3 linked regions of the Cricetulus griseus genome follow. The protein of the gene in region 2 interacts with the protein of the main gene of each other region in a biochemical or structural test. Links are inferred from orthologs where the notes say so. Each region holds a gene or a part of one and is shown on either strand. Other genes may lie near its edges.

The links.
Region 1: of the proteins of Chek1 (region 2) and Cdc25a, one has a biochemical effect on the other in vitro, tested with the Homo sapiens proteins (7 studies listed by BioGRID and IntAct, with this or other methods). The link is inferred for Cricetulus griseus from reciprocal best matches to the Homo sapiens genes CHEK1 and CDC25A.
Region 3: the proteins of Chek1 (region 2) and Mcm2 form a complex in vitro, tested with the Homo sapiens proteins (2 studies listed by BioGRID, with this or other methods). The link is inferred for Cricetulus griseus from reciprocal best matches to the Homo sapiens genes CHEK1 and MCM2.

The regions. Positions count from the first base shown.
Region 1 is NC_048597.1:217,362,347-217,369,570, reverse strand, and holds the end of Cdc25a (M-phase inducer phosphatase 1), read right to left. Parts: intron 6,349-7,224; coding exon 6,250-6,348; intron 4,829-6,249; coding exon 4,766-4,828; intron 4,672-4,765; coding exon 4,573-4,671; intron 3,898-4,572; coding exon 3,767-3,897; intron 2,242-3,766; coding exon 2,130-2,241; intron 1,887-2,129; coding exon 1,746-1,886; downstream 1-1,745. UniProt on the Homo sapiens protein: Tyrosine protein phosphatase which functions as a dosage-dependent inducer of mitotic progression. Directly dephosphorylates CDK1 and stimulates its kinase activity. Also dephosphorylates CDK2 in complex with cyclin-E, in vitro.
Region 2 is NC_048597.1:148,657,311-148,663,586, forward strand, and holds the end of Chek1 (serine/threonine-protein kinase Chk1), read right to left. Parts: intron 5,859-6,276; coding exon 5,681-5,858; intron 5,454-5,680; coding exon 5,322-5,453; intron 4,254-5,321; coding exon 4,152-4,253; intron 3,327-4,151; coding exon 3,231-3,326; 3' UTR 2,312-3,230; downstream 1-2,311. UniProt on the Homo sapiens protein: Serine/threonine-protein kinase which is required for checkpoint-mediated cell cycle arrest and activation of DNA repair in response to the presence of DNA damage or unreplicated DNA.
Region 3 is NC_048601.1:54,398,688-54,406,011, forward strand, and holds the start of Mcm2 (DNA replication licensing factor MCM2), read left to right. Parts: upstream 1-2,499; 5' UTR 2,500-2,647; coding exon 2,648-2,653; intron 2,654-3,645; coding exon 3,646-3,878; intron 3,879-7,324. UniProt on the Homo sapiens protein: Acts as a component of the MCM2-7 complex (MCM complex) which is the replicative helicase essential for 'once per cell cycle' DNA replication initiation and elongation in eukaryotic cells.

The sequences.
Region 1 (7,224 bases), about 69 Mb from region 2:
ACATTAAGTGAAAATTAAAAGTCCCCTTTGAGTATATTAGGAACTAGGCAGAGACTATGGGTTCAAGGTCACTTTTATTTGCAGAGCCTTCAACAGTTGGTTAACAATGCTAGCTAAGCTGGTACAATCCAAAAGCCATTCTCCTTCAACTAACAGAATCTCTACAAACCAGAGACTAATTGGGACACATTTCAACACTGGGGAAGAGGCTGCTCATTCCCTTGTTCTCCATGTATTTTCCAACAAGATTTGTTTTTATAGCCAAATGTAACTCAAACCCATAACAAACAACTAGCCATCTTCAATATCACTGATTCCCTCCCCACCCCCAGAATAGAAAGAGGCAAGAGGGGAGACTGTCCCTAAGAAAAACCTGGCTAGACCCCAGCGGAGCAAAGATGACCGACCAGGAGACTGCTGCCCGGAAATGTTGATGGACAGACACCAAAATAGGCTGCACACAACTAAAGCACAGCCCAGCTCCTCAGATGGAGATGTTCCCTCGAGAGCCTCACCTCCATGGGGTTAGATTAAGGGGGTAACTGGTGTGATTTACCACTCCCTGTCCCTCAAATTAAAACATGATAAACCCAGAACATTTTACTTCAAAATTTACCACTTCCTCCTGAGAAAGTCTACAGTCATCTGTAGGCCAGGACCGACTCCTTCCACCCAATGGTCTGGGCTTCTTCGCCCCCTTCTCACCCTTGGGTGCCCACCCAACAATGATTTGATACTCCTCAACTCATACAATGACTTTTTTTTTTTCCCAAAGGACATTCAGTGAGCATGCTCCTCCCTCCCCAGTGGACTCCACTCATTCCTCCCCACTCTCACCCTGGGGCACCTACACTAACCACAGCATTCCAGCACTGGCCTGGGATGGCCAGAAGGAAGCTGCCTGAAGTGCTTTCCTGGGACTCCTATAGAAGCCACCATCGTGGGAACCTGGAGTGGATCTAAAACTTCCCCAAGGACATCACAAAGGACAGAGGGCGGTCTGGGAAGGTTAGCTTATGTCCTGTAGCCAAGCCTGGATCTGGTGCAGGCTCTTACCAGCATCTCAGTCCTTGACTTTGAGTAGCAGCAATCCCAGTTCACAGTGCCTCCTAGGGGTGACTGAGCTCCTAGCGCTGTCCACAACAGGTTTGCCTATTCTTATCCCTGCCCCAATTTTTTTTTTTTTTTAAATTAAAAGTAGAGGTAGTTCCTGGAATGATAAAACTCTACCTAGGATGGCAGTATTTTGACTTAATGAAGCAGTAAAGTAAAAGTCTTGAGGAATTAAAAAAATAATAAAATAATCGATGAAGCTGAATAAATTAAAGTTATGGGTCATCCACAAAGACCTCTCTCTCCCTTCCAGCCTATCTTTGGTATTTGGCCAGCAGCACTTCTGTTTGTCACTTCTCTCCCCTCATGACAGGCGGCCAGGGTCTGCCGAATAAGGCCCTAGCTACTCTTCATGCATGGGACGCTCAGTCAGAGCAGCTTGACACGGCGCTCTAGACTGTAGACTCTGGTCTGCGCTGTGGTGTATCCAGCTCTGGCAGATAGTCCTGACAGGGAAGGAATCTTATAGGACAGGAGAGCCCTGGGCTCCAACCTGGGAGTGTAGGAGACAGGATTAAGGCACGGAAGGCCTGTGTCTTTCTCCGTGTACCGCAGCTGGCTCCTTTGCTTCCTGCTCTGCAGCAAAGGGAAAGGAAAGGGGCAGAGGGAAATATGGCTGCTGCTGTCTGGCTTCAAAGCTTCTTCAGGCGACTATACATCTCTCTTTTGCTCTTTTCCCCTGCCCAGGTCCGGCTCTTGGTACGAAACTTCTTCAGGTCTTCTTTAAAGTCTTCATGGTGCATTGGTCGGTAACTGGGGGGCTCACAGTGAGACTATAGGGACGTGAGAATGAGGGAACAAAGTCAGGACATGAACTGCCTCACAGTCTGGCTAACCCCTGCCTAGAGCTGCAAGGCTGTGAGAAGCAAGAAGCAAGGGCCAACAAGTTCTACAGGAGCCTGGTGCTTAGAGGATGCTCGGCTTGTCTCCAGACCCCACCCCCACCCAAGCAGCCGCAACAACTGATTTATTGGTCCAGCATAGGCACAGAGACATGCTATTCATAGATGCCTCACCTGGCATTTCAGGAAGAACTCTTTGTATCCCCCCTTTAGGACATACAGCTCGGGGTAGTGGAGTTTGGGGTATTCATTGCCAAGCCTATCTCTTTCTCTCACATATCGGCACCTAGCGAAAAGGAATGGAGACAACAGTGAGAACAGTGGTGTTTCAGGCACTCACTCCTTCCTAAGCACGCGCTAATAACACTGCCTGCAGCAGCTCTGAACCAACTCACTCGCCTCCCCACTCACCTCCTATTGAAGTAGAACCCTTTCTGTGCCTTTAGACAGACTAGGGTGTCTACTTCCTGGGAGTACCTACTGGAACCCCGCACAGAAGTGACCACTGGAAGCTCTTGTCTCAATGGTCCACCCTGCCCAAACCTGTAGACAAGGTGCAGTTGTGCCTACAGATGTGCTGCCTCGACGGCCTCGCCCCCATCCCACTCTGATCTTCTCTTCCGCCCAGGAGCTTCCACCTCTGACCTCCTTTTGAAGGACTTGTGAACATTTTGCATAGTTAGTTCTAAGTATTTCTTTTCTTTTCCTTTTTTAAAGGTTTTATTTATTTATTTATTATGTATACAACATTCTGCTTCCATGTATATCTGCACACCAGAAAAGGGCACCAGATCTCATAACAGATGGTTGTGAGCCACCATGTGGTTGCTGGGAATTGAACTCAGGACCTCTGGAAGAGCAGCCAGTGCTCTTAACCTCTGAGCCATCTCTCCCGCCTGAAAGTTCTAAGTATTTCTTATGCTTCTCTGCCTCCTGCTTTCTCCGAATGTGACCTCCAGAAAGGCAGGGTTTTAGTTTTTTGTTTTGTTTGAGACAGGGTTTCTCTGTGGCTTTGGAGGCTGTCCTTGTTTTATACTGTTATTGCTTAGAGGACTGCCAAGCTTATGAAGACTGGGATGCAAGTTCCTGATAATTTCCATTCATGTGTGACTATTCAGGTCCTGTGCAAATGTTTGTTATCTGTTCATATGTTTCTGTCTGTTTGGTTTTTTCTTTCTTTTTTGGTGACAGGATCTCACTACATAGTCCAGACTGGCCTTGAATTCTTATACAATAGTGCCCTGCTGTAGTTATGAATGGAATGTATGTAAATGTGGCAGAACAGCAAGATGAAACCACAAGCTCGTATAACTTCAGCAAAGGGAGGAGTGCAGCAGTGCCTGTCCAGCACACCAGGGACCTGCTTTCAACCCCAGCAGTATACCCAAAGAGCAAAGCACGCCCAAGACCAAGACCTGGTCTTCTGAGCCTACTCCCATTCTATGGAGTGTCTCTTTCTTAGTAAAGGTTAAGTACTGCCAGTTTGGATGTATTTACTATTACTCAGGATTGGACCTGCCACCCGGATCATTTTCCCTGCCACCACACATGTTCAGCCTCACCACTGTATCTTTAATGAATGGCTCCATTTTATTATCTTAGTAGTATCTGCTACATAGCAGGTATCTACTCCTCTATTCTTGGTGAGCCAAAGGGGACAAAGGTCAAACACATTAGACTCACCATTGGTCTCACAACAGGGTGTGTGACATACTACACTTATACCACTAGTGAAAAAGGAACATACTACCAGGCTCAACAAAAACAACATGAACCCTCTACCCCCAAGTCTTATTCTCTGTAGTACTTACATGCGAGGGCCTCTTTCAGAAGAAAACTCACAGTGGAATACGACAATGACACGCTTGCCATCAGTAGGTACAATAGGTTTTTTGAGTAAGAACTCCTCAACCTCTTCTTCCATGTGCAAGTTCACGGCACCCTTTGAAGACACCAGATACTTTTAACATCTGCTGAATCACACTTGAAGACTCAAAGAGGGAGCCAGCTCCTCAGAGTAATTTGTGATTCTGCAGGTCTCCTGGCACAGCAGTCCAGTAGACTTTTGTATCTCAATGAGGCTTTCTCTATAGGTCTATAGGCTTTCTCTATAGATCAGTAACAAATATGAAAACTGGAAATTATTTCCAAGGTCACTTCATAAAGTTAGAAGGTAATACCCCCTACACCACATTTAAACACTGCTTTATAAGGTAATATTAAATTAATTTATAAGGTAATATTAAAGTGGTATGACCAGAAACATGTATTCCAACATGTCCCTCCACCAATTTGGCTGTTTGATTAAAGAATAGAGGCCCGGTACAGATACCAAGGCATGTTGCCAGAATGGCGTCTTTTAGTCAGGAGCTCTGGGATGGTCAAATATTTATATTTAAGATTTCAAATACTATGGAGCACTTTGTGGCTCCACTGAATGGCTTAGATGTCAGGGATGCCACCTAGAAATGCCCTGAAACAGCACAGAGTGAGGGGCAGACAAGGAGAGCACTGCAGGAACTCACATCTTCTGGCTTGTTCTAAATCCTCACCATCAGCTGAGAGGTGTCAATAACCCTCCTCTAAGCCACCCACGATAAGTCTCAAGAATCCAAACCTTGATGTGACCTCCTTCATATTCATATGGATATCGGCAGTCAATGATAACAAACTCTTTAATGAGGTTAGCAAACTTGCCATTCAAAACAGATGCCATCTATGAAGAAAAAGGAGGGTGGGGTGTCAATGGTGGCAGTCACATAACAAGATTCCAACCCCCGTGTGCAGTGGGTTCCACAAATGTGACTTACAATTTCTGGAGAAATATATTTCAAATCCTGATGCTTCCCAGAGACTGTATGAAAGAGATAACCCTTTAAAAAAGGAACAGAAGATACTCAGGGGAAGGAACGTGAAAGCTTGCAAATGTCGTTTCCTCTGTTGCCCAGCTGGTAGGGAGCAGCCCAAAAAAACAAACCCAGAAACAAATGAATAGTATATGAACAAGTGAATAGTATATGCTAACTACCCTTCTATGCACCAACACTCGGATATTTAATTGTTATTTGTTTAAGGAGGAATGGTCTCATTATGTAGACCAGTCTGGCTCCAAACCCAGAGGTGTGTCTGCTCCTGGGATTAAAGAAATGAGCCTTTGAGACAGCACAAGCCTGGCTGGCTTGGAACTGAGGCTAGATTTGAAGACAGAAATTGTAGGTGATTTCCCCTTTCTCTTGTTTTTAAAAGGGAACTCTCATCTTAGTGGTTAAAGTATGAAGACCTAAAAATGCAGCAAAGAGCCAGGCAGTGGTGGCGCACGCCTTTAATAATTCCAGCACTTGGGAGGCAGAGGTAGGAGGATCTCTATGAGTTCCAGGCCAGCCCGGTCTATAGTGGCTCAGGTCTGTAATAATAGCCTTTGGGAGGAAGAAGTAGGAGGATCCATGAATTCAACTCCAGCCTGAGTGTGAACATGAGGCCAATTGGGGATATGAGACTCTGTAACAAAACATAGGCATGGTACTATATACTGTGTAACCCAGCACTGGGAGCCCGAGGAAGGCGATATGCGTCTAAGGTCCGCTTGGGCTAAATAGTGAGACCCCACCTCAGAAGTGAAGACAATTTGCTCATCTAATTAGCACGTGGTTGCCCAGGGGAGATGGGCAGTGAGAATGGGAAAACAACCTTGGTCCAACCTTAAGAAAGACGAACACAGTAACGTTACTTAGAGGATAACTGGCCAAGTTAAGAGCCTACCCATGACCATATTAAAAACCACCAACAGTCTCAACTCGTTGAAGGTTACACAAGCCCTTGGTTGTTCTTCTCTCCAAACTCCCCGTTCTCTTTTTATTTTTTTGAGACAGGGTCTCTATATTGTCCCACTATCCTGGAACTTACTAGGTAGATCAGACTGGCAAATTCTGCCTCCTAAGTGCTGGAATTAAAGGTATGCACCACCACCACCCAGAAAATCTGGACCTTCTAAGATACCTTTCAACATATGGACTCAAAGCATGGTTGTATATGCATACTATTTTTATAGTCAGAAGTTCAGTTCCCAGAGAACCTGCATTATGGGTCAGAGTGAAGGCAGATAGCCAACAGGAAACCACAGTCTCAAAGACCAACATGTACCTTATCATTAGAAGCTCAATTTGTTCCCTATCTTTAACTTTTTAAAATGTTGCTTTGGAGGCACCCCAGGAGCCACCTTGAAGGAGAAAGGCTAAGTGGGGTTCTAGCTACCCCCATCACTTCCTCAGTACTATCCAACTCTTCTTGCAATTACCTTGGAGAAATCTCCTATAAGGTCTCTTGGGTCACTGTCCAAAATGGTCTCAATGGTTCCTTTGGGTGAGGATGTCAGGGATAAAGACTGGTGTAGAAGCTGTAACAAACCAAAGGTAGAGGGTGACACCAGAGTTTTAACTAGAACTCCAAAATATTTACCTTGACCATGACAAAAGGAGACTGAATTATGAATACCCACATTAAGTAAAAGATTTTGTAATTCGACTGAATCAAAAGGAAAAAGACAGGCCCTTCTATTTATTAGCTAGCTGAATTTCTATAAAAACCCTTCTATCCTTTTTGGAGACAAAGTTTTACTGCGTATCTTTGGCTGGCTAATGTAGACCTGCTAACGTAGACCAATTAGCACTAAACTCAGAGATCCATAGGGATTACAGGCATGCAACATACCCAACACCTTTGCGTTTTATTGTTCATAATGAAAACTATTGAGCTGATGATATCAAGCTGAGACTTGGTAATGCATGAAGCAGGAGGACTGCTACAAGAAGTTTGAGCTAGCCAGGGCTACATGGCAAGAATCTGCCAAAAGCAAACAAAACAAAAACAACCAAACCCAAAACAGAAAATCATTGACATGTATCTCACAAAATAAAGCATAATTACTTTATCTCAGTAGAGTTCCTGAATGTCTGATAGGGCTTTTTTTGGTGAGAAAACAAATTCAAGAAGTTGTAAAGATCGTTTAGATTGCTTCTAAATAAATAGCCTTCTGTGATCTAGGCTTTCCTTTTGCAGGTTGGCATAGCACCAAAGGACAGCCACACAAGGAGCCACTGTGTAAGCAAGCCTGAAAACTAGTAATCGAGAGGCAACCTGAACATTTATATCCAAAAAGGGAGACTGGGACCTTGAACCATTTCTTTTTATGATTTTTCCCCCTCTTTCAAAGACACAAGGGCCAGAGAGGTGGCCCAGAGGGCAAATGTACTTGTATATGCCTAACAGCAAT
Region 2 (6,276 bases):
CAGACAGCATTTGGATGAAATTCTTCCAAATCAGAAGACAGACATGGAGGTAAAAACACAGGAAATTCAATAAACTCTAGGGATGGCCCAGGAGAACCACACTGAGACATACACACTATTAAAAGACTATCAACAAAGACAAAAAAGGAATCTTGGAAGCATTAAAGTAACTCACTAAATAGAAAGGATCCCAAATATGATTCTCTGTTAACTAGATACAGTGGTATACACTGGAGGCTGAGGCAGAAGAGTTGCAAGTTTAGTGTGGACCTGGACTATGACTGAGGCCCAAGTCACCATAGAGCAAATAATGCCACCCTATCCCAAAAGTGGTTTATAAAAATAAAAGATTATTAATTTCTAAGCAGAAACCTTGTAGGCCAAAATGCAGTGAGGTAATATAAACATTACTGAAAGAAAAAAAAATGGCTAAAGACTATCAACTAAAAATTCAGAGTCTGATAAAACAAAATTGTCCCTTGGAAATGAAGACAAATTAACATTCACAGAGGGAGAATTAAAGGAGTGGGTTATAACTATACCTGCTATGTAAGAAATGCTAAAGATGGTTCCTTCAACCTGAAATGAAAGGATGCCAGACAACAGAAAAAAAAAACAAAAAACAAAAAACAAAAACAAAAATACATGATATAAAGACCTCTGTAAAGATAATCATAAAAATCCTAGCTTAAGGATATAGTTCAATGATAAAGTGCTTTCCTGGCTTGAATGTGGCCCTAGGTTGGATCAACAAAAATATAACAACAATTATTTAAAAGCCAAGTATATGGAAGATAGCTATCAGCTCACCTTCCAAGTAAAAGCAGGCATGGTACCACTCATGTATAATCCCAGCTCTTGAGAGGCAGAGACAGGAAAATGAGGAATTCAAAGCCATCCATTCATATAGAGCAAATTAAAGGCCAGTCTAGATTACATGAAATCCTGCTTCAAAAGAACAAAAAAGAAAACATAGATCTATTGTAGTGTACATACAGGCAAAGATACAATTTTTTATATTAATAAAATTACATGGGGAGGACAATGCAGCTGTAAATATAGTTGTTCTGTCACAGTCAAGTTAGGCAAGGCATACTACGCAATCCCAGTACTTGGGTCACTAAGGCAGGAGGGGAAAAGAACCAGCCTAAACAGATAGTGAGTTCAAAGCCAGTCTGAGCTACATAGTCAGACCCTGTCTCTTAAAAAAAAAAAAAGTTGTTATTAATTTTAAATAGTTGCTGGGTGGTGGTGCATGCCTTTAATCCCAGAACTTAGGATGGATCTCTGTGAGTTTGAGGCCAGCCTGGTCTACAGATTGAGTTGCAGGGCAGCCAGGACTCAGGACTGTTATATAGAGAAACCTGTTTGGGGGAGTGGGTAGGGGTTAAATATATTGTTCTACTTTACAAGAAAAGATAAAGAATAAAAATAATATAGCTACTATGGCAAACAATATTATAGTGCCCAAAAATATTAAAAACACAATTATCACATCACCTAGAAATTCTACCTCTGGGTATACACACAAAAGAATTAAAAACAGAGACTTGAGCAGATATTTATATATCCATTTTCACACCAGTATCATTTACAGTGGACAAAAGGTGGCAACAATCCAAACATACAAGAGTAAGTGCACATGTGCGGGGGAGGGGGGCATATGTGTGCGCACGCAGACACAACACAGGCACACATGCACACACGTGCACTGTGGAATATTAGTCACAGAAAGGAATGAAACCTGATATACGTTATAACATAGATAATTCCTGAATACAGAAGTATGAAATAAGCCAAACAAATACCCAATTCTATTTATGGTAATTACAGGAGCATTCAAATTCATGGAGACAAATAGCAAAATGGTGGATGCAAAGGGCTGACAGGAAGCAGTAAGTCATGATTTGATAGACACAGGCTCTGGAGACAGTACTACATAACATCAGATGAAGAGACAATCACATAGAACTGTACAGCTCAGACCAAACTCGGAAATTTAAGTGTGATGAAAAGTTGTAAATGTGGGAGTGGGACCGTAGAAGTATCATTCTGATAGCTTTTCTAGAAAATAAACTACCAAGGAATAAGTAACAGTATTAAAAAGATGACCAATTTTAACCACTGTGGTACTACAATGTGGAAAACAGGAGACTGAATAGACTGGGTTCCAGTTAATTTCTGTGTCTAGGAGAGGTAAGTAAGCCGGCATACGCCAATATGTAACACACATTAGCCACAAAATTGTAAGTGTTCTTAGCTTCAGACTCATTGTAATTTATCTACAAAAAGGAATACAAGACCCCAATCATATAATTCATATTTTAATATAAATTTTATGAACAAAACAAAGCTTTAGTGAGTCTAGAAGGCAAGGAACAAGAATCAGGCCAATTCTTGTGTTTCCTTACTACCCCATCTCCTTTTCCGTCAGTGTCATCTAGAAACTTGAGGCCAATAAGTTCACTGAGTTAGGCATTGATTTTGAAAACAGAATTTATTTCTAGAGTAAAAATATGGCTGTGAATGTAAAAAAAAAAATTAAGTGTGTAAAAATTAGAGTAAAGTAAGATAAGCACTGGAGCTTATGTTCAACTTCTTGAAAGACCAACCAGTACTTTATATTTGACTAGCTACACCAGAAAAAAAAACAAATCTTGTAATTTTAATCATTATAACTCAAAAACAGTTTTATATAACTGGTCAAGCCCTTGTATGATACATACACCCAAACTAAAAATATAGTACATATCTCAGGATACATTTTTTGTAGCAAGCCTCACTTCATGGACCAATCAACTGCACATGGTCTGTTTATTCCTTTTTACAATTAAATAGCAGAAAAGAAATATGTTTTCTTAGGATGAAACAAAATGTTCCTTTTTTTTTTTTTCAGAAGTGATACTACATTGGTATAAAAGCTGGATAAAAGCTGGAAAACTCATGTATCCCAAAACTTAATTTCTACCAGATAGTTTTCAAATTCAGACAATTTAAACACAGCTGGAGAAATACCCAATGAATTTGATCCATCCTTTCCCCAAAGTATTACATACAATTAAGATACAGTATTATATGTATGCAAAACATACTAAGAATTGGAAGATGTTTGGGTAATAGGAAGAGAACTCTTCAAAAAACTATTGTTTGCAGGACAATCTTCTCTAGGAAGAATAATGTCAACATAGCAGCACTATATTCACCAGGAAACCCCGGAGTTGACAGCTTCATCATGTAGCAGGAAACCAAACCTTCTGGCTGCTCACAATATCACCGAGTTTCCCTTTGATCTTCAGGAAGTGTCTCTTGAACTCTAATCCATCACCCTATTTTAGGAATATTTTTAAAAAATAAAAAAAGGCTGTGTCAAAGATCATATTCTCATTTCTGGTCAGTAGAAACAAACACCCTTAGATACATCCAGTTATGGCATCCTCATGTCTTCTTTTTTCCCTTCTCCCTGTTCTTCTGAGAATACTGGATTTCAGGTATGTACCACTCTAGCTTAGTTATTCATTCCATATAAATCTATAGCATTTTGGCTTACTTGAGCAGGCTATTATAGCATCTTATGGGTTCTTCATTAATAATTTATTAAATGCAAACTGAATCCAGTCCACTTGTGAAGACCAACAATTCTAGTGGAAATGGCTACCTTGGCAATTCTCACCTGATTATGTGCTCTTCACTTTCCACACTGAGCAGAGAAAGAATAATGGCTTTTTTTTTTTTTTCTGTTTCAAGGGCTAGTACCTTTGGACCTATACCAATTGTTTTCCATAAGCAGCAGGAGTTGGTGAACTAAACCCAAGCCACATTGAAGTTTTATCATTAAAAAAAAAATTCCACTAAACTTAGTTATGACAACAGTTTTAATAGAGGAGAAGCCTTCATAATGGAATTACATACCAAGAATATAGAAAACAATACTGCAGCCAGGCCAGGCGGTGGTGGCGCACACCTTTAATCCCAGCACTCAGGAGGCAGAGGCACTCGGATCTCTGTGAGTTTGAGACCATCCTAGTCTACAAAAGCTAATTCCACAACAGCCTCCAAAGCCACAGAGAAACTCTGTCTCGAAAAACCAAAAAAAAAAAAAAAAAAAAAAAAAAAAAAAAAAAAAAAACTATAAATGAAACATAAAAAAATACCTTTGAAAGCCGGAAGTCAACCAGTATCTTCTCATCCATTTCTACCAAATTTATTTTGAAAATCAACTTATTGTTTCTTCTATCAGTTGTTGATACAGTAACCTAAGGCAATAAAAATAAAGTCAAGCCACACACACACACACACACACACACACACACACAAACAGAAAATACTCTTAACGAAATATCTGTTATCAACAGGTCGGTAATACTTTTGGGATAAAAATGTATAGTAAAATCCTCGCATGACAGGAGTGGCATGAAGAACACTATAAATTACAGGGCTAGAAAGGCAGCTCAGGTTAAGAGCACTTGATGCTCACTCTTCCAGAGGACCTGAGTTCCATTTTCAGCACCCATGTCAGGAGGCTCCCAATCTCCTGTAATTCTAGCTCCAAAGGGTCTGATGCCTCTATAACAGACACTGACACACAGATGCACAGACATAGTCGTGTACACATAAGAGTAAAAATAAATCTTAAAAAAATAAAAAAAGACTGCTATAACTCTCTCCAATGGGCACCTTTGCATCTAATCTAAACCAAGCTGTAAGTAGAACTCAGTCTAAGTGTACTTTCAGCAACAAAGCAGAACTGAAAAAAAGAAATGACTGAAAGGAATAGGAATATCATGAAGACTAGAGATATAGCTTGGTGGCAGGGCATTTGCCTAACATGAATAAGGCCTGAGTTCAATCCCCAATACTATAGTCAAACAATCAATCTCATATATGAAAAAGAAAACAAGAAGCTGTCTCTATGGCTGAAAAGCTGCAATAACAACAAGGTGACGGTGAAGGCCTGGAGAGGTCTTGCAACTCCCATTTCAGTTCCTCATTCCTGTTCACTTGTGTTTTTTTTTTCAGATATTCTCACAGACTATAAGGTAGTTCAGCCAAGATGACTGATGTGAAAAAAACAAAAGGCACAGACAAGAGCCAGGGCAAGTAAGACCCAAACATGGAGATAAGGACATCGTCAACTGCAGCTTAATATAAAAATACTAACCTTAGAGGTTTTGGACAAAAACAAAAACCTTAAAGCCTTCAACTGTTTCTTTTTCAAATTGATTATTTGTATTTTCAAAACATTCACTGACTACTGATATCTTTTATTTAAATACTTATAATTTTCTATGGTTAAAAAGATACTGAAAACTAACAAAACACACCTGATTCATACAACTCTTCTTCCACTGATAGCCCAACTTCTCAAAGGTCTCTTTCAGGCACTGGTAAGATTTGTCTGCATCCAATTTGGTGAAGAAGCGTGTCATTCTTTTGACCAAGCGCTGCCAGGGGTTCTATACCACAAAGAAGAAAGCAGGATAAATTCCATGTGACCAGTTTATAGCAGTTAGTCTGAAATTCTTTCCCTTGACTTTGGATTCTCACCCATAAAGGCCTCCTCTAATTATTTCTTCCTTATGCAAATAATATGCATCAACTAAAAGTATTAATCCCATAGGCCAAGATTTAACAACAAAAATAAAAGGTAACAGTTATTTATTTGAAAAACTAAATTCCTTACCTGTGAGGATCCAGGGGTACCGAGTAACTGACTGTTTACAAGCATATGATCAGGGCATGTAGGCTGTGAGAAACTGATGCCTTGTACAAGTTTGTCAACATATGAGGGACCAGTGTCCCACAAGGAAAGCCCTGTCGGTGGCTCTGGCTGGGAACTAGAATACTTCACATTTTCTTCACTGAAAAGGAAAAAAGAAATGTCTTTAATTGTCTGTTTTTAAGGTGATTTCATTCATTTTAACAACTTATTTTGTGTCTTTTTTTTTTTTTTTTTTTTTTTTTTGAGACAAGATCGCATCTTGCCATCTTGCTGCCTAGACTGGCCTGCAACTGTCCATCTTCCTGACTCAGCCTCTAATTTGCAGTTATCTGTAATTATATCATGTGTGCTACAGTATTAGCCTAAAAATGTCTTTAAATAAAACCCACCAGGCCTTTCTTATATCACAACTGTTCTTATTTTTGGTGAAATTATTTGCCTAATTAAGTAAAATATATACATGTTTTATTGTTTATGGGGAATAATCACATTAAAAAAAAAAACAACAACAACTTAATCTGCCAATGTATGGTGGTGCACACCTGAAATCCCAACTC
Region 3 (7,324 bases), on a different chromosome or scaffold from region 2:
TCCTCGGACGCGGTGTGCTTGCCCACTTCAAAGGGACCTGGCGTTTACAGGGCTCCAGGCCCCCTGTCCCAGTCATCTTGAAGGCTGGGTACTATTAGTTGCGTTTTCCCGAGGGCACCCGACGTTTCTTGAAGGGGTTAAGGGATGTTTTCAAAGCCATCGGCCTAGGGAGTGAACACACCAGGTCTCACGCGTAGGCAGGTGCCTTCCAGAGGGACGCCTTCCCTGACTGTCGCCTCCCCCCACCTCCACCTCCCGGACGACTCTATGGTGTGCGACACCTCCAGGGCAACTCAGAGGCCTGGCCTTATTTCAGGCCATCTCCTGCCCATCTTGCACAACTTCGGCCACCCACAGGAGCTTCCCTGTAGACATTCAAACTTGTGCCTCGCCTCCCCTGCTGGGCCTCTGTGTCTCCTCACACCCTCTCTTCATGGAGAACTTCCTGGTCTCTCCCTCAAGTGACCGTATTGACATGTCTGCCCCTTCTCAGGCATCCAGTGGCCCAGGACCCAGCCCATAGTGTGTCCCAGCAGCATTCTGAGGGCTGACTCAGTGCTGTCGAAAGGTGTAGGCAGCTGTTTATTTTAGGATCCCAGGATCACCCAGGACAGCACCATGGGACTGGAATGAGGCTGGGCCTCCTTGTGACTGGTGTTAGACATAGCTTCCCTGACACTTCCAGATTAGGTTCCCACGTCAATTTTGGTTTTAGGCGGATAATCTGGCTACAGGTTAGCAGTTGTCTCAGCCACAGTGGGCAGAGAAAATCACCAAGAGTTCTCAAATTCCTGCCAAGACAATACAGTACACTGCTTAGAAATAATGGCAAAAAAAAAAAAAAAAAGTGTCCTAGGCCCTCCTTGGCTTCCAGGGGTCAGAACACCACTGTCCTATACTTACAAAGAGAAAGGCCACATGAATTGAACTCAGGGCTTCTGCAAAGTCAGTACATGCTCTTAACTGCTGAGCCTTTTCTCCCGTGCCTGTTGCCCCCACCGCCACCACCATCAGTCACACTAGGCAAATAGGGTGTGGTGGGATTACATGCCTATAATTCCAGTGCTCTAGAGGCTGAGACAGGAAAATCACCTCTATTTTGAGGCCAACCAGGGCTACATAACAAGACAGTGTCTCAGAAAAACAAAATATGCTATTCTGCATTTCCTACCCCGGAATTTTGGGCTCCATGTGTCTAGGAGATTTTATGGCATTTGGGGAGTAACCAAGGCCATCAAGAACCTCTTGCCGTGGGGTGTCCCCTGAACACAGGATAGTGTGGCATCCAGGAAGACACAGGAATGGGGATCTATCAGGTAGTGTACCTGACTTGCACCAGTGCAGGATGTGAACAGCTGTGCCAGTCTTCAGAGCCTAAAGCTTGTTGGGGCACTGGGACCCTCCATATGCCTATTTCACTCATTGCAAACCCCGCCTCTTTCCATCCACATTACAGGAAAGGGATAGCCCACCTTCAGGGTCCTTCCAGGGCTGTGGTGACTCCACTACCCTCTGCTGTCATGGGGTCTGGCAGAAGGTGGCTCTGGTTTGTCTTGTCCATGACACCTTGCTAGTAAGGATGGATGAGCATGGAGTGGCGGGCCAGTGGTGGCCGATGAGATTCTGTGAAGGGAAGAGGTAAGTACTGTGAAGAAATGAGGGCTTGTCTTCATTGGAGCTCATAGGGGTCTAGTAGCCTAGGGCAGACTCAGTCATCTTTTCAAAAAAATGTATCCTATCATAGTGACAGAATATGCTCTTGACTTTTCTTGGAGTCTCTTCCATCGAGATGCAGCACCTTCCACACTGGTGAATGTTGCTGTCACCCACATAGTTCCAGGTGGCACAGGGGTTTCCAGCTTTGAGGGAGGCCACCAGCCCGAGAAGGGTTGCTGTACTAACTCATCTCCCTAATGCTCATCCTTTAGCACCTCGGGGTGTCTCTTGTATGATGAGGCCTGCAGATGCCACCTTCTGAGCTTCCTTCCATGCTTCCCCTCCCTGCCCTACTCTACGACCTGTAAGAACCATCCATGCCCAAGGCACCAAGAACTATTCAAGCTGGACATACAGCAGAAATCCCATCCTCGTGAGATTCAGCTGTCTAGGACTACAGGAACAACAGCAGTCCCTTACTGGACGCATACAGCCTATCTTACCCCAGCCAGTATGAATCCCTCCCTCTTTGATAAAAGCCCACAGCAGCCTGAGTGCATGAAGGACTGAATCTCAGAGTTTTGGAAGAAGTTAGTATCAAATCAGGAAGAAATCAGAAAACAGTTTCAGCTGCATCAAGTGGCCATACTGACACCAAGGTCTCACAGCTTAGGAGGCCGGATTGGTCCTTAGAGCCTCGAGCAACCCAAAGTTCAGCTCCGTCCTTTTAGCGTGACAAACCCTTTAAACCTAGGTGTGCAGGCGGCCTGAGTGCAGCCTTTTGAATGCTGTGGGCCGGTCTCCTGGAGAATAGGGCGGGGCCTCGCCTCATGTAGGCGTGACCAAACATTCTAGCCCTCCTCCCGCCCTAGATTGACGCGGGCGTCGTGACGTCTGGCTCCTCTCGGAGTTTCCCGGGCAAGGGCGGGTCACATGATCCAGTTTTCGCGCGAAAACCGGTGGCTGCTGGTACGGCGGAGCGAGCACAGAAATGGCGGTGAGGAGCGTGCTTCTCTTGGGCGGGCGGTGTTCAGCGGTCTCGGCCTACTTTACCGGGTCTTTTCCTCCAGTGGCAGGCCTGAGTCCGGGACGGGTCGTCTCTGCGCCCCACACGTGGCCCTAGGCCTCTGGTCTCCATGCACTGTGGGTGGTGGGGGTGCAGGGAGTGGAACTCAGAACCTCCCGCGTGTAGGGAAAGCGCGCTACCACGTAGCTGCATGCACCGCAATCCACTTGTGTTGAAATAAGGTTTCACAGTCGGGCGGTAGTGGCGCAGCCCTTTAATCCCAGCATTCGGGTGGCAAAGGCAAGCGTATCTCTGTCTTCAAGGCCAGCTTGGTTTACAGTGCAAATTCCAGGACAGTTACACAGAGAAACCCTGTCTGGAAAAACTAAAACAAGAAAGAAAGAGAAAGGGTCTCACTAGATCAGCCAGGCTGATCTTGAACTCACTCTGTAGTTCGGGTTAACTTTGAACTTGACATCATCAGGCTGACTCAACTTCTGGGTATTCGGGATTACATAACTTGTGACATCAGGCCCGGCTTCCCTGCTCTTAGTGTTAGGGGCTCATGACTCTGACTTGTTAAAGAGTAAAGGTCTGTTCTTGACTTCAGTTCATGTTCCTTGATGTCTCTTAATCATCACTTCTTGTCCCAGCACCCAGCATATTGTTGAGGTTCCAGTAGATGATAAACGGCTGAAAACAAACAAACAAACAAACAAAAAAACCCACAAAACTACATAGCCCCCTTGGTTTTTCATAAGAGAGATGTGACCCAGTAAGGGCGGAGATGCCCCTTGATGGCCTCAGATCATTGCAAGCAGAGGACCCAGCAAGTGGAAAGGACTCAAGGCTAAAGGGCTTCCATGTCCCTGAGAACAGTGCCTGGCAGACAGGAGACTGCCAGCCAGCGGGGAAGGCCCCGTGATAGCCAGGTGGGTGTCAGCCTGTGTCCCTGCTGTGTCTGATGGCAGCCTCTCTTGCAGGAATCTTCTGAGTCCTTCTCGGCAGCATCTAGCCCTGCCCAGCAGCGCCGACGCATCAGTGATCCCCTCACCTCCAGCCCAGGCCGCAGCTCCAGACGTGCGGATGCCCTTACCTCCAGCCCTGGCAGAGACCTCCCTCCATTTGAGGATGAGTCTGAGGGGCTGCTGGGCACTGAGGGGCCTGTTGAGGAAGAAGAGGATGGCGAGGAACTCATTGGTGATGGCATGGAGAGGTATTTTCAGTCTCTGTCTTGGCTAGCTGGTGGTTTAGCAGAAGGACCCTTGTGTCTGGTGGCCTGGCCTTGGGAGCACATGAGTGTATAAACTTGGTAACTTTGAATGTGGCATGGTTCAGGTTGGGGAGAGACAGTTTCAACAAACACTGTGGAGATCCATTTAGCTAACTATATACAGCTCAGACTAGACCCTAAGGCCCAGGCAAGCCCCAGCTCAGGAGAAGAGGAGGACCCATAGAGTCTGATCTGAAGAGGCATGCCAACTCAGAAAGATGGGAAGTGGACTGCAAGTGTTTTCTCTCTGCCTTTCTTAACACATTGGGTAGTGCTTCTGAAAATGAAGGTTTAGAGTCAGTCAAACTTGACCCAGCATGCATCAGGCCCTGGGTCAGAAGTGTTCAGGGTTATATACAGACTTACTGAAGGTGGAGGCTGACTGCTAGGAAGCCGGGTGTAAGCTTTGCCAGTAAGTACAGTTAGATTCCTACTTTAGCCTTACCAGCAATTACAGCTGGGATCAGGTACGAATTATATGGGCACCTAGGAGCCTTGTGGCATGCTCCTTTTTTGCCCGGGGGGGGGGGGTGATATCTGAGGTGTGAGCCATCAGAGGGACTGTCAGGGGTCTTCTGCACCATCCGGTTCTTTGCTTTAAGCAAAGACTAGTTAACTGAGAGTAGCTATGTGGTGTGTGTCTGGCTATGGGAGGAATTGATCCAGATCATCCTGGGCTCAGGGTCAAGGGCTTCCCCCTGTGCTCCCTCCCTATCTGTCTTCACTCTTGGGTTATACATCCTCTTTAAAGTGAGAGGACCTTGGGGAGGGTGCCTAAAGATGTCTGAAGACTATCTGATATAGTGACAGTTTGTGTGGAAAGAGGCTAATTTATGTATTATAAGCCTTACCCTTGTAAGAGTACAGCGCAGGGATGTTCACTGCATGCTTTCTGAGCGCCGTTTCCGTTGCCCCACTGAGGTCCCTCCTGCCTGTGGATCCCAGTTCCCAGCCCCATCACAGCCACCCAACTATCTCTTTCTTCATCTCCATAGCTCTTCCAGTTCTGAGCATGTGGCCAGAACTGGGATCGTATGATACTTGTCCTTTTGTGCCAACGTTTCACTCAGCACAGTGCTTTCAAAGTTCAGTCTTTTTTGAAAAATGTATGGGTGTTTTACCTGCATATAGATCTATATACCACATACATGCCTATGCCCACAGAGGCCAGAGGAGGATATCAGACCCCCCTGAAACTGTAGTTAATCTATGGTTGTGAGCTGCCGTGTGGGTTTCCAGAAATGAACCCAGGTCCTTTGCAAGAGAAGCCAGTACTCTGAACTACTGAGCCATTTCCAGCCCCTCATTTTTTTTGTTTGTGTTTCAAGTCAGGGTTTCTCTGTGTTACAGCCCTAACTATTCTGTTTACTTTGTAAACCAGTCTGACCTTGAACTCACAGAGATTTGCCTGCGTCTGCCTCCCAGAGATTAAAGGTGTGCACCACCACACCCTGCTGCTCATTTTCTTAGTACTGTATTTTAAAAATATCTCATTATATTGTTCATTGTGTGTTTATGCATTGCTACACATGCCATGGCATGCATGTGGAGGTCAAAGGACAACTTGTTGAAATTTCTCCTTCCTCTGTTGGGTTTCAGGGACTGAACTCACATCAGGTTTGGAGACGAGTCTTTAGCCATTGAGCCATCTCATTAATCCAGAAATGCTGTATTAAGGCATAAAGGTTTTGAAATTCCATGAGACCCAGATTGGTTGGTGTGTTTTGCTGTAGACTAACTAATTGTCACTGTTTTGGGTGACTGAAATCCTCTCAGGGTCGGAACAGACTTTCCTCAGAAACCATTGGTGAATTCTGCATAATTCAATAGACTTTTACTTGATATGACTTTGGTGATGTGAGATTGTTTGTTTTGAGAGGGTAGTTTGGGAACATTGACCAGAGAAAGGGGGCAGCCTTAACAGTTAGCCTGAGGAAGAGAACTCCAGAGGTCCGCTTCCCTGGGAGATGCTGGCTCCTGGGGGGAGGCCCTGAGGAAAGAGCTTGCAGCCTTTTGGACTATAGAATCATATCACCTACTCAAAGATGAAACGGCACTGATGCGATGGGACTCTGGGACTCACAAATCACAGGGAAGACGCTGCCTGGCTCTCTGTGTTAGACAGTACTTCCCTCAAGTACCTAACAAGTGGTCACCTGGAAGGAGACTGCTTGATGGTCTTGGAATAGCTCAGAAGGTTGAGCCAGTAGGTGTGAGCTTTTCAGGCAGCCAGTCTGGCTGGGTTTTCAGAAAGGGTATGCTCAGGTTGGGAGAGGACACAAGGTGGGTATAACCCCTGGACCCACTGTGCTCCGAAGCCTTTCTGGTGTCAAGGTCTTGGCTTCCTCTGATTCCATTTTCTTCTTTAAACATTTGGTTTGGTTTTGCTGTGTGTGTGTGTGTGTGTGTGTGTGTGTGTGTGTGTGTGTGTGTGTGTGTGTGTTTGGTTTTTCAACACAGGGTTTCTCTGTGTAACAGTTCTGGCTGTCCTGGAACTCACTCTGTATACTCACTCTGTATGTAGACCAGGCTGACCTCGAACTCACTGAGAGTTCTGCCTCCCCAAATGCTGGGATTAAAGTCATGTGCCACCAATGCCCAGCTTGACATTTTTTTTTTTAATGACTTTATTTTATGTGTGTTGGTGTTTTGCCTGCATGTATGTCTGTGTGAGGGTGTTGTCAGGTCCCCTGGAACTGGAGTTACAGATAGTTGTGAGCTGCCATGTGGGTGCTGGGAATTGAACCTAGGTCCTCTAGAAGAGCAGGCAGTGCTCTTAACCACTGAGCCATCTCTCCAGCCCATAATTCCTTCTCCTTATTGGGACTAAGCAGCTCTCTGGAGAGCTTCATTTCCTGCCTGCTCCTTAAAATAAAAATTGTATATTCTTGAGTGTCTGCGTGTTTGTGCGCTTGAATGTATAGGTGCCTTCAGAGGCCAGAAGGAGTCAGATCCCCTGAAGTTGGAGGTACAGGTTGGGTTATGAGCTGCCTGACATGAGTCAGGTCCTCTACTGAGCCCTCTCTCCAGCCCAACGTCCTTTATTGTAAAATACACTTAATTTTAGTGTGTGGCTCAGTGGCATTCATCTGAGTTACTGTGTAGCCATCTCCAGAACCTTTTTATCTGTTCCCCATAAATGCTGACTCTCCACTCACCATTTGGCTATCTTTCTCTGAGTCTGACCCCTCTGTGGACCATATGGTAATGGTATGGCTTAATCCCCTAGTATGAGATCCTCAAGATCATCCATGCTGCAGCACCTGTCATAGCCCCCTTTTGGTTTGGTTTTTGTTTTTTGGATTTTCAAGACAGGGTTTCTCCGTAGCTTTGGAGCCTGTCCTGGGACTAGCTCTGTAGACCAGGCTGTCCTCGAACTCACAGAGATC